2 linked regions of the Callithrix jacchus genome follow. The protein of the gene in region 2 interacts with the protein of the main gene of each other region in a biochemical or structural test. Links are inferred from orthologs where the notes say so. Each region holds a gene or a part of one and is shown on either strand. Other genes may lie near its edges.

Region 1 (6,256 bases), on a different chromosome or scaffold from region 2:
ATTAAGTTGGCATATATCCTGGCTCCCATAACCATATTAGGCCAAAGGGTTAATCAGACAAGGTGTCTTAATTTGGGGGCAAGGGTGTGTGTGGAAAGAGAGGAACAACTAGGGCAGAGTCTGATGATTTATATGTTGATTCATTTAGCCAACGGTATTTGTTAATGCTGAAGTGACACTTTGTGCTGTGTGGCTAGGACATGGTGTTGACCAGAATGAGTGTTCATGATGTGATGTTGTGGTCAAGAAGAAGCATTAAGTCTAGTCCACTGGGTGAACCTATTGGAGAGATGACCGCAAGGCTGGGCCTTGGGATCTGTCAGGCTGAGCAGATTGCTTCGTGCAGAATTTTGTGACAGATGAGGCACTGGGGAATGGGAAGCTTAGCTTGCCCTCTCCTTGGGAACTTTCAATCTAATCAGGAGCTTCCATTGCTTGATCTAATGGGTTTTTTTGTGATGGAGTTTCGCTCCGTCTCGCAGGCTTGAGTGCAGTAGAGTGATCTCAGCTCACTGCAACCCCTGCCTCCCAGCTTCCAGCAATTCTTCTGCCTCAGCCTCTCAAGTATCTGTGATTACAGGTGTGCGTCAGCATACCCAGCTAATTTTTGTATTTATATATATATATTTTTTTGAGATGGAGTTTTGCTGTTGTTACCCAGACTGGAGTGCAATGGCACGATCTCGGCTCACCGCAACCTCCGCCCTCTGGGTTGAAGCAATTCTCCTGCCTCAGCCTCCCGAGTAGCTGGGACTGCAGGCACGTACCACCATGCCCAGTTAATTTTTGTATTTTTAGTAGAGATGGGATTTCAGCTTGTTGACCAGGATGGTCTCAATCTCTTGACCTCGTGATTCACCTGCCTCGGCCTCCCAAAGTGCTGGGATTATAGGCATGAGCCACCGAACCCGGCCTTCTTTTTTTTTTAAAGATGGGGTTTCACCATGTTGGCCAGGCTGGTCTCGAACTCCTGCCCTCAAGTGATCCTGCCTTGGCCTCCCAGAGTGCTGGGATTACAGGCAAGCCACTGTGCCCTGCATTTTTGTATTTTTAGTGGAGAAAGGGTTTCGGCATGTTGGCCAGGCTGGTCTTGAACTCCTGACCTCAGGTAATTTGCCCACCTTGGCCCCCCAAAGTGCTGGGATTATAGGCGTGAGCCATAACACCTGGCCTCTAATGGGTGTTTTTACCCGACAAAGGTCAGTCCTCTAGAAGTAAATTAGAAAAAACTAAAGGAGGGCCGGGCGCGGTGGCTCATGCCTGTAATCCCAGCACTTTGGGAGGCTGAGGCTGGGGGATCACCTGCGGTTCGGAGTTCGAGACCAGCCTGACCAATATGGTGAAACCTTGTCTCTTACAAAAAGAAAAAAAAGAAAGAAAAAAACTAAAGGAAAGTATAAGAGGAGAGACTTAGATGAGGACTGAAGACTTTTTTTTTTGAGATGGAGTCTCGCTCTTTTGCCTAGGTTGGAGTGTAGTGGCACAGTCTTGGCTCACTGTAGCCTCTGCCTCCTGGGTTCCCAGTAGCTGGGATTACAGGCACATGCCACCACACCTGGTTAATTTTTGTATTTTTAGTAGAGATGAGGTTTCACCGTGTTAGTCAGGATGGTCTTTATCTTCAGACCTTCACGATCCTCCTGCCTCGGTCTCCCAAAGTGTTGGGATTACAGGTGTGAGCCACCATGCCCAGCCAGGTTTTTTTTTTTTTTTCCCTGAGACAGTTTCACTCTTGTTGCCCAGGCTGGAGTGCAATGGTGTGATCTTGGCTCACTGCAGCTTCTGCCTCCCAGGTTCAAGTGATTCTCCTGCCTTAGGCTCCTGAGTAGCCGAGGCAGGTTTGTGCTACCATGCCCAATTAATTTTTATATTTTCAGTAAAGACAGGGTTTCGCTGTGTTGGCCAGGCTGATCTCAAACTTCTGACCTCGTGATCTGCCTGCATCAGCCTCCCAAAGTGCTGGGATTACAGGTGTGAGCCACTGCACCCAGCTTGGGTTTTTTTTTGAAATGGAGTCTCAGCTGCCCAGGCTGTAGTGCAGTGGTGTGATCTTAGCTCACTGCAGCCACCATCTACTGGGTTCAAGCGATTTTCCCATCTCAGCCTTCCAAGTAGCTGGGATTATAGGCCCCTGACATCGTACCCATCTAATTTTTGTATTTTAGTAGAGATGGGGTTTCCCCATGTTGGCCAGGGTGGTCTTGAACTCCTGACCTCAGATGATCCACCAGCCTCAGCCTCCCAAAGAACTGGGATTACAGGCGTGAGCCACCTTGCCTGGCCTTGTTGGAAGGTTTGTAAGGAACAGGATGGGCTTAAGAGGAGGCTACTAGGTAGGCTTCTGAGTTGGATAGATGTCTTAGGCAGCTGTATCAGCATGGGGGATTGCCTTTGAAAGTGGATTGAGAGGTTTGAATCAGCACTGTGGAGCAGCACTGTGCCCCTGAGGGAGAGGATAAATAAGGAAAGGAGATTGAGTTTGGAGATTTCTTAGGTATCATAGTGAGTTATTTCCATGTAAGAGAAGACGAACAGGGAAGGAGAAAGTCAGTATCCTGCAGCCAGGTGAAGATTGGAAGAAACTTTGAGTGGGGGTGGGGGTGGGGATGGCTGGTCCAGGTTACCAACCTCTACACTCTCTTGGCAGGGTGGTGAAGGAAGAAATTTCAGATGACAACGCCCGCCTCCCCTGCTTCAACGGAAGGGTTGTATCCTGGGTAAGAGTTTGTGACACCTAGGGCCAGGTCCCCTCAGCATTGCCAGGCTCTTCCAAGCCTCAGTCTGTTTCTGTAGCCCTCCCCCAGGCCAGGTGTTAGTGGCCCTGCCTCTTTTTTTTTTTTTTTTTGAGATGGAGTCTTGCTAGATTGCCCAGGCTGGAGTACAGTAGTGCAGTCTCAGCTCACTGCAACCTCCGCCTCCTGAGTTCAAGCAGTTCTCTGCCTCAGCCTCCTGATAGCTGGGATTACAACCATCTACCACCACCAGGCCCAGCTAATTTTTTGTATTTTTAGTAGAGACGGGGTTTCACTATTTTGGTCAGGCTGGTCTTCAACTCCTGACCTTGTGACCCACCCACCTCAGTCTCCCAAAGTGCTGGGATTATAGGCGAGAGCCATGGCACCCGGCTGGCCCTGGTTCTTTACCTCCTGTCTGTTTGAAGAGCCAGCGAGAGGCCCTCAGCTTTCTCCTTTTGGAGTCTTTAATAATTGCTATGTTTTTTTTGCTCTTCTTCAGCTCTCTGAAACCCTTTCTAATTATTTGACTTACTGCCGTCTGTTCCACCCCCACTCCCAGGTGAGCCACTGTTTATCGTTTGCACCCTTCTAGCTGGTGTCTTCAGATAATCCCCAGCCCGAGATGGCTCCTCCAGCCCATGAGCCTCGGACAGAACTGGCGCCTCCAGCCCCACCTCTACCACCTTTGCCACCTGAGAGGACCAGTGGCATTGGGGACTCGAGGCCTCCATCCTTCCAGTGAGTCCTTAGGATCCTTGACTGCAGGGGAGGGAGATGAGGAGGGAATCCAGGCCTTTTTGTAGGGGGTGCCTGGGATCCGGAGACCTGATCTCCTGATGTGGGTTGGAAACCATCTCTGCCTGTCCAGCCCTAATGTGTCCAGCAGCCACGAGAATCTGGAGCCTGAGACAGAAACCGAGTCAGTAGTGTCACTGAGGCGGGAGCGGCCTCGAAGGAGAGACAGCAGTGAGCATGGCGGTGAGGGGCAGGCCTGGGGACAGGGAAGGGCTGGGCCAGACCCCAGGCTTAGTGAGGTGAGCAGGGGGAAGCTTGGATCCTCAGCTTCCTATCCATATGCAGCGGGGGGCCACAGGACCAGTGGCCCCTCAAGGCTGGAGCGACACCTGGCTGGATATGAGAGCTCCTCTACCCTCATGACCAGCGAGCTGGAGAGTACTAGCCTGGGGGACTCGGATGAGGAGGATACCATGAGCAGGTGTGGCTCTGCAGCTCTCCCCAGTGCACCCAGCCCTGGCTTTCCTCCTCTGATCAGTCCTCTTGTTCTTTCTCTTGGCCCCATGACCACTTTGGCTTATGTTTGCTCTCCTCCCGCCTGACAGGTTCAGCAGCTCCACGGAGCAGAGCAGTGCCTCCCGCCTCCTGAAGCGCCACCGGCGGCGGAGGAAACAGCGGCCACCTCGCCTGGAGAGGGTGAGGGGGTTCCCACGGGAATACCGGTGCGGGGAGAAGGTGGGGCATGGGCCTTGGTTTGGATGGTGCCAGGACACCAGCAGAGCCCTAGGGTGTAGACTGGGTTATTGAAGAGCACTCTAGCTCCTCCTTTTCCCACCACAGACCTCATCCTTCAGCAGTGTCACGGATTCCACAATGTCTCTGAATATCATCACAGTCACGCTGAACATGGGTATGGGGAAAGCCTGTGGCGAGGGCGTGGGGAGGGCCTGGTCTCTCTGGGGCTTGCGACTGGGGCCTCCTCCCCTCACACGGTCTCTCTCCACAGAGAAGTACAACTTCCTGGGCATCTCCATTGTGGGCCAAAGCAATGAGCGGGGAGATGGAGGCATCTACATTGGTTCCATCATGAAGGGTGGGGCCGTGGCAGCCGATGGGCGCATTGAGCCAGGGGACATGCTTTTGCAGGTGTGTTGGGGCAGGGCCATTGAGCTGCCCTGTGTGGGGGCCCTCATACTCTCCCAGCCGGCTTCTGACCCCCTTCCCCTCGCTTCCAGGTGAATGACATGAACTTTGAGAACATGAGCAATGATGACGCCGTGCGGGTGCTGAGGGACATTGTGCACAAGCCTGGGTGAGTTGCTGAGCAGGCTGCAGGTCGTCAGTCTTTTTTTTTTCCCCCTTTAACTTTTTGTTTTGCAATTTTAATAAGTGGTAAGACAATCAGGCCCAATAGCTCACCCCTGTAATCTCAGTACTTTGGGAGGCTGAGGTGGGTGGATCACCTGAGGTCGGGAGTTTAAGACCAGCCTGGCCAACATGGTGAAACCCCAACTCCACTAAAAACAGAAAAATGGCCAGGTGCAGTGGCTCGCACCTGTAATCCCAGTACTTTGGAAGGACAAAGCGGGCGGATCACCTGAGGTCAGGAGTTCGAGACCAACCTGACCAACATAGAGAAACCCTCTCTCTTCTAAAAAATATAAAATTAGTTGGGTGTGGTTGCATATGCCTGTAATCCCAGCTACTCGGGAGGCTGAAGCAGGAGAATCGCTTGAACCTGGGAGGTGGAGGTTGCGGTGAGCCAAGATTGTATCATTGTACTCCAGCCTGGGCAACAGAAGTGAAAACTCCATTTAAAAAAAAAAATATTAGCTGGGTATAGTGGTGCTCCCCTGTAGTCCCAGCTAGTGGGGAGTGAGAAAGGAGAATTGCTTGAACTCTGGGGCAGGGGCAGAGGTTGCCGTGAACTGCCATGCCACTGTACTTTAGCATGGGCAACAGAGCAAGACTCTGAAGAAAAAAAAGGGGGAGTAAGACATAACACTCAAAGTACATGAAACAAATTCGTGATGTAGCAAATAATACTAGAGCGAATACTCATGTCGCCACCACCTAGACCATCAAATAGAGATTGCTGACACCCTAGATCCCCCTCCACAGACCCCCCTTCCTGCTCCCCAATGCCTCACCCCCCAGGGCTAGTCACTCTGCTGACTTCCCGGGTCATCACCACAACAAAGAAAAGCTTTACCTCCCTCCATAGTTACCACCCTTGCATGTATCCTTGAACAGCGCGGTTTTACCTGTCTTTGGACTTTCTTTGAATGGAATTGTACAGCGTGTACTCTCGTCTCACTTGGCAGTATGTTTTTAAGAGTTTCCATGTTGATGAGTCATTCACATTGTGGTGCCTTCCACCCTCACCTTCCCTAGCCCAGCTGAGACATGCTGGCTTCTCCCCATCTTTGTGTCTCTTAATTCATCCTTGCTTCAGCGCCCCCCCACCCCAGGCCTCTTCTTCCCCTGAGCCCTTGACTGGTCTTCTCTTCCCCATAGCCCCATCGTGCTGACTGTGGCCAAGTGCTGGGATCCCTCTCCTCAGGCCTACTTCACCCTCCCCCGAAGTGAGTGACACTCAGGGAGGGGCCTGAAGTTGGTGGTGGGGGTGGCTGGGGCTGGCCTCTGATTATGGGGAATGTGTGGAGGAAGGTCCAGGCAGAGGTAGAACGGGAGGCTGAGTCAGGGAGGGACTGGGCTGGCTTTTGGGGACTGAGAAGGGGTCATTTTGGTACCATCTTTGTCCCAGATGAGCCCATCCAGCCAAT
Region 2 (6,256 bases):
AGTTACGGTTTCACTCAGCCCTGTCATCCCAAGGCCCTCAACAGAGCACATATTTAATGTTCAGTAAAGTCTGTGGCCCCGAGACCCTGGCTTCCTCTTGACAAGTCCTATACAAAGCAACATGGAAACTTCACTACCTATATGGCAGCCACTGAGGAAAGCTCTGGTTTCTCCAGAGCTCTCGCTAGCTTTTTGCATTTTATTTTTAAAAGACAGAGTCTCGCTATGTTGCCCAGGCTGGAGTGCAGTGGCTATTCACAGGCACGATCCCACTACTGATCAGCATGGGAGTTTTGACCTGCTCCATTTCTGACCTGGGCCAGTTCACCCCTCCTCAGGCAACCTGGTGGTCCCCCGCTCCCGGGAGGTCATCATATTCATGCCGAACTTAGTGTGGACGCCCAATCAGCATAGGGCACTACAGCCCAGAATCCTGGGCTCAAGCGATCCTCCCACCTCAGCCTCCCGAGTAGCTGGGACTGCAGGCACGTGCCACGGCGCCTGGAGCTTTTTGCATTTTTACTTTACGAGTTCTATGGGGGTGAAGGGTGGGGATCAGAGAGGGCACACCAGTCCACAGGGGCTGCTATTCATGCCACGTTGCCTCCTGGTGAACAGGCCCAGGGCCTCCTCCAATGCTGCCCCTTCCTGGAGGTCTCAGAGGAAGAGGAGATTCCCCTGTGGCCCCCTTACCATGGCGATGAATCTGCCGATAAAGCGGAAGTAGGTGAGGTGGTCCGGGTTGATGGAGGAGGCGGGGTTGATCTGCAGGCAGTAATTGTTCTTCCCCGCGTATTCAAATAAACAATACATAGGGTTGAGCACCTCGTGAGACAGGAGGAAAAACCACTCTCTGTGAGGGAAGAGAAAGAAAAGACAAGAATAACGGGTCCCTTAGTGCACATCTGCACAGGAGCTGTGACTCTCCTCCATTGTGTCTCAGGTAGTCTGCGGACACGTGTTCCAAGGAGTCCAGTCCCGTGACAAGTGCCCGGGCTAACCTATATGAAAAGCTGATCAGTGAACAGGGCAGGCTGAGACCTAGAGTGAACCAGGGTGGGGTGGCAAGTGCATTTGAGGATGAGGTTCAGGAAAACGTGTGCCTGTTGGCTCCCAAGTGATGTGTTCCTGTTCCTAGACTTTACATCACAACATCCAGAGCGTCTAATGCTAAAGGGGGTCCTTGTACCCTGGGTCACCATGCTCAGCTGCATAGGCTGTGTACTGCACAAGGACACGATGCATGTTTATTACAATGATCTTTCTGCAAAGGTTCTGTTTGAATAGCAACGACCCTGCTTCCACTCTACCTGGACGGGCAACATAACATAAATACACAGCACCACATTCCCAATCCTGATCCATGAAAATGTCATCCGTACTGTCTTCCGATTAGAAACCTCACCCCCACCAACTATGCCACAGGCATCTCACTTCTCTTACACTTTGCCCTCCCTTCACCTCCAGACCCCCCACACCATACCCGTGCCCACACTTCCACGCATTCATCTGAACCAACACCCAGTCCCTGGTTTCGAGCCTCAAGCATGAATTCAGAGTCCTTTTGGGCTTGAGCTAAACCAGCCAGGGGACGTCCCAAGGGGGCCAGTCCCCGGCGGCTGGGCTGTTTGTGGCTGGGCAGACGAGGAGTCCTTCGATGCAGAGGGTGTCCCGGTATCCTGTCCGTGGTTCTACCCTGTGGTAGAACAGCATGACGTAACCTACCATAGGGTAAAACCACTGGCAGGACACAGAGAGAGACACACACAGGGCGCGGCCACACCAGAAGCCCACCAAGCAGAGCCTGGAGAGGAGGTCACCACGGAAAAAAGGAACAATCCATCCACGGGGCCAGCACAGAAGGCAACGCCACCACTGAGCAGAGGACCAGGAGCAAGTTAACCCAACACCAAGCGAGAAGACATGGCCACACAAGGAGAGGTCACAAGCGGAAAGGTCACTGCAGGCCAAGGCGCTCCCTCTCTGCCAGGGCCCTTCTGCCCTGTTGTCCAAGGCAGCACTTCCCAGAAGGCTGTTAACTTTTGTGGGTGGACCAGGGTGAAGGCAAGACAATGCTTTGGTCTCTTTTTTTTTCTTTTTTCCCAGGGCAGTCTCGCTCTGTTGCCCAGGCTGGAGTGCAATGGCGCCATCTTGGCTCACTGCAACCTCTACCTCCCAGGTTCAAGGGATTCTCCTGCCTCAGCCTTCCAAGTAGCTGGGATTACAGGCATCCGCCACCATGCCCAGCTGATTTTTGTATTTGTAGTAGAGATGGGGTTTTACCATGTTGGCCAGGCTGGTCTCAAACTACTGACCTCGTGATCCGCTCACCTTGATCTCCCAAAGTGCTGGGACTACAGGCGTGAGCCACTGCACCCAGCTGCTGTGGACTCTTTTTAGGGTGACATAAGCCATTCTTTACTGACCCCAGGCACATGCCATGCAGCAGAGCCCTGCTCAAGGCTCTGTGGATCATGACACAGGGACACCTGACTTCACCTGCCCTGGCTGCCTCAAGAGGAGGGGAGCAAGGTCAACTCTAATGGATGACCACATGGCCCCGGTATTCAGCCACTGCCCAGAAGCTGCTGGAACATGGCACACTGGTAGATAACAGGGCCACTGTACTGAGCTCTCACCCCTCCCAGGAGTCCTCTGTCTCCTCATGATCCAGTAACTAAAGGCTTAACGCCCAGTCCAGCAGGGTACCCCAGACCCCTGCTCCAGGCCCATCGGGACTGGCCACATGGATTCACGGAGTTTGAGTGCCACAATGTGCCCACTCCTGAAGACGCAGGAGAGCTTTGGGAGGGAATGTCAGCATGAGGCAGGCAGCTTTCCAGCCATGAACACCGTAGCCTAGGGAAACGGGGTATGGGGCAGCCTTCTGGGGCGCTCCAGCTCACCTGGCGATGCCTCCATAGTCCAGGCCCTCCTCCCCACGCATGATGATGTAGAGCCGGCGGCGCAGGTCATAGGGTTTCATGTTCATGATCTGGGAAAACAGAGCATGGGGCCGGCCTGCCACTCTCCCTTCCACGGCAGGCAGGGGCAGGAGGGACAGGGAACTCTAAAGCCTACTCTCCAGCAGACACAGTCATCAAGACCCGTGCCCTGGAAAGTCTACAGTGTGGGTTTAATGGGCCAGGCAATAGGAGACAGGGTGCTGGGAGGAGGGCACCGGCCTGCCCCTGAGGGTGTTGGCACCATGATCATTCTCTAACCTGTTGGAAGGAATCCTCGAAAAGCGTCTGCCTGGAAACGCTGATCTTCACATGGCTGGGTAGGGCATTTGACTGAAAAGAAAAGAAAATCACTTCAAATGGAGCCTCAAGTGATCATATCTGTTCTCTTGTCTGTATGAACAGGCATCCCCCAGCCTTCTGAAGCAGGAGGGGAGAGCGTGTCCCTTAGGAATGAAAACTGGCTTCCCAGAGACAGCCAATTTGGAGTTAGACAGCTGTCTTACCCCCACCTAAGACACAAACGTTACGATACCTGCAGCTGTGCCAGGAACTCAGACTGAAATAACTCAATAACCCCAACTGCCACAGGAGCCCCAGTCCCAGAACTCACATGGCAGAGGAAACGGAACTGGTGATACTTCCACCGAAAACTTCGGTCATAAGCACCAGGGGAACCTTGCTTCGTCCTGGGAAGAGCAAAGGCGTTCAGGGGTTCATGCAATTTCTCAGAAAATGAACAACTTGTCTTGGTCAGCCCTAAGGAAAGCTGGTGCTATGTTAATTTAAAGATGAGTAATGTAAGGTGAGGAAGTGACTGTCATTAAGATCCTTAAAGAATAAAAAAGAATATCTAGAAATAAAGCCAGACCTCTTGCTTTTAGAGAAACAACACTGTTGTTACTCTGTATAAACAGGATAGTCCCTTCCTCCCCATCCCATCTTATTTGTTTGTTTATTTATTTTCTAGAGACAGGGTCTCACTTGGTCACCCAGGCTGCAGTGCAGCGGTGTGATCACGGCTCACTGCAGGCTCAAATTCCTGATCTTAAGCAATCCTCTGCCTCAGCCTTCCAAGTAGCTAGGACTACAGGAGTGCTCCCATACTGAGCCAATTTTAATTTTATCATGATTTTTTAATTTTTTTGGAGACCGAGTCTCACTCTGTCGCCAGGAGGGACTGTAATGGCACGATCTCGGCTCACTGCAACCTCCACCTCCCAGGTTCAAGCGATTCTCCTGCTTCAGCCTCCTGTGTAGCTGGGACTGCAGGCATGTGCCAGCACACACAGCTAATTTGTGTATTTTTAGTAGAGACAAGTTTCACCATGTTGGCCAAGACTGTCTCAATCTCTTGACCTCGTAATCTGCCTACCTTGGACTCCCAAAGTGTTGGGATTACAGGTGTGAGCCATTGCGCCCAGCCAATTTATTATTTTTTAGAAATAGGGTCGGCTGGGCGCAGTGGCTCAAGCCCGTAATCCCAGCACTTTGGGAGGCCGAGGCAGGTGGATCACGAGGTCAAGAGATCAAGACCACCATCCTGGTCAAAATGGTGAAACCCTGTCTCTACTAAAGATACAAAAAATTAGCTGGGCATGGTGGTGTGTGCCTGTAATCCCAGCTACTTGGGAGGCTGAGGCAGGAGAATTGCCTGAACCCAGGAGGTGGAGGTTGCAGTGAGCCGAGATCGCGCCATTGCACTCCAGCCTGGGTAAAAAGAGCAAAACTCCGTCTCAAAAAAAAAAAGAAAGAAATAGGGTCTCACTCTGTCACCTGAGCTGGAGTGCAGTGGTACCATCATAGCTCATTGTCGCCTCAAATTCCTTAGCTGGAAACCCTCCTGCCTCAGCCTCCCAGGTATCTGGGACTACAGGCGTGCACCACCATATCCAGCTAATTTTTAATTTTTTTTTGTAGAGATGGGGTCTGGCCATCTTGCTCAGCCTGGTTAATCCTTTTTATTCTTGTAAAGGCAGGAATGTTGTCCAGGCTGGTCTCCCAACTCCCAGGCTCAAGCTATCCTCCCATCCCCTTTAACAGGACATCAACATTGGCCACTAGAGGGCAGTAAGGGCAACAGAATGCACCACAGGGGACACCCAAAGTGGGCCTCCCGGAGGAGCCGGAGCCGGAGCCAGAGCAAAGATAGCCCAGGGCTCTGTTTCTGGACACTGCTGCTACCTGCAAAGTCCTTACCCCGACTCAAACCCTGGGCGAGGATCCTTAAAGGTGGTGGTGCGGGTATTGTGGTCCACAAAGTATCGCACGCCCTCGCTGGTGTATTTCATCTCCCATCCTGGGGGCAGAGCTGGTTCCTGGATCATCCTGGAAACATGGGAAGAAAGGGGTAGAGGGCTGGCCCCACCTTCTGGGCCTTGGTGGTTGGAGGCTGGGTCCTCAAAGTGTGGCTTTGTCTCTGCAGAGCCCATGAGGGGCCTTGAGGACATGCATGACCCAAGTTGTGAGGACAGTTCTGCAGCACAGAGAGGTCATTTATTATCCCATGGCCAAAACCCAGCCCTGCAGGGACAGCATCGGACTGAATGGTCACCAGCAATCCTGAAATACCTCGTGTCCCAGCCCTGCTTCACTTGGGGTGTTGGGAGACCAGGGTACCCTCAACCATTTTCCAATCCAATTATCAGCAGCTTGTACAATCAGTACAGAGACCAGCAACACCTGCCAGCCGGCCCCCTCCATCCACCAGGAAGGTCTATTTAAGAAACCACTTCTAAGCTCTCATGAGGCCAACAGCGTATCTGTACCATGAGAGTCTCAAGACACTTGTGTGTGGTTAAAGGCCCCCGACATCAGCCCTCTGGGACAATGCAGTCCAAAGCCACCTACCCAATGCTGGAGCTGCACAGAGACCCAGCCCGGCCCAGCCCCTCTCCCAGCCCATGTCCTCACCCCTGGGTCCTGGGGTCCTCCCACTGGGTCGTGCGAGTGTTATGGTTCACGTAATACACCCGTCCATTGTCCTGTCTCTTCTCTGCCACATGAGAAGAAAGAGAGAACCATTAGATTTGAAGACTGCGAGCCGCTGTCCTTTCCCTGCGGCTCCCACCTCCTGGGTGCTGGGTCTGAGTTTCTCTCCCTGTTGCCAGCCTGTTAAAGAAGTTGAACCAGCCAAAGCCGCGCTCACTCACACTTGTCACTGGGAAAGGGACACAGAGGGTCCTTCCTTGTTGGGGGATGGAGAAGGGTGACACATTTCCAAGTCGAGAGGAAGGACTTCTTTGCTTGGTTGGTTTACTGGAGGGGCGGGAGGTGGTGTGGCCACCCGGAGG

What was found. The genes of interacting proteins can lie anywhere in the genome.
Region 1: the proteins of WWP2 (region 2) and DVL2 form a complex in vitro, tested with the Homo sapiens proteins (2 studies listed by BioGRID, with this or other methods). The link is inferred for Callithrix jacchus from reciprocal best matches to the Homo sapiens genes WWP2 and DVL2.

What each region holds. Positions count from the first base shown.
Region 1 is NC_133506.1:73,719,204-73,725,459, reverse strand, and holds part of DVL2 (segment polarity protein dishevelled homolog DVL-2), read left to right. Parts: intron 1-2,647; coding exon 2,648-2,717; intron 2,718-3,294; exon of another isoform or gene 3,295-3,327; coding exon 3,328-3,473; intron 3,474-3,603; coding exon 3,604-3,713; intron 3,714-3,815; coding exon 3,816-3,951; intron 3,952-4,075; coding exon 4,076-4,166; intron 4,167-4,310; coding exon 4,311-4,380; intron 4,381-4,476; coding exon 4,477-4,616; intron 4,617-4,705; coding exon 4,706-4,782; intron 4,783-5,987; coding exon 5,988-6,055; intron 6,056-6,237; coding exon 6,238-6,256.
Region 2 is NC_133521.1:27,511,659-27,517,914, reverse strand, and holds part of WWP2 (NEDD4-like E3 ubiquitin-protein ligase WWP2), read right to left. Parts: intron 5,959-6,256; coding exon 5,877-5,958; intron 5,292-5,876; coding exon 5,163-5,291; intron 3,653-5,162; coding exon 3,577-3,652; intron 3,297-3,576; coding exon 3,225-3,296; intron 2,996-3,224; coding exon 2,907-2,995; intron 854-2,906; coding exon 694-853; intron 1-693. UniProt on the Homo sapiens protein: E3 ubiquitin-protein ligase which accepts ubiquitin from an E2 ubiquitin-conjugating enzyme in the form of a thioester and then directly transfers the ubiquitin to targeted substrates.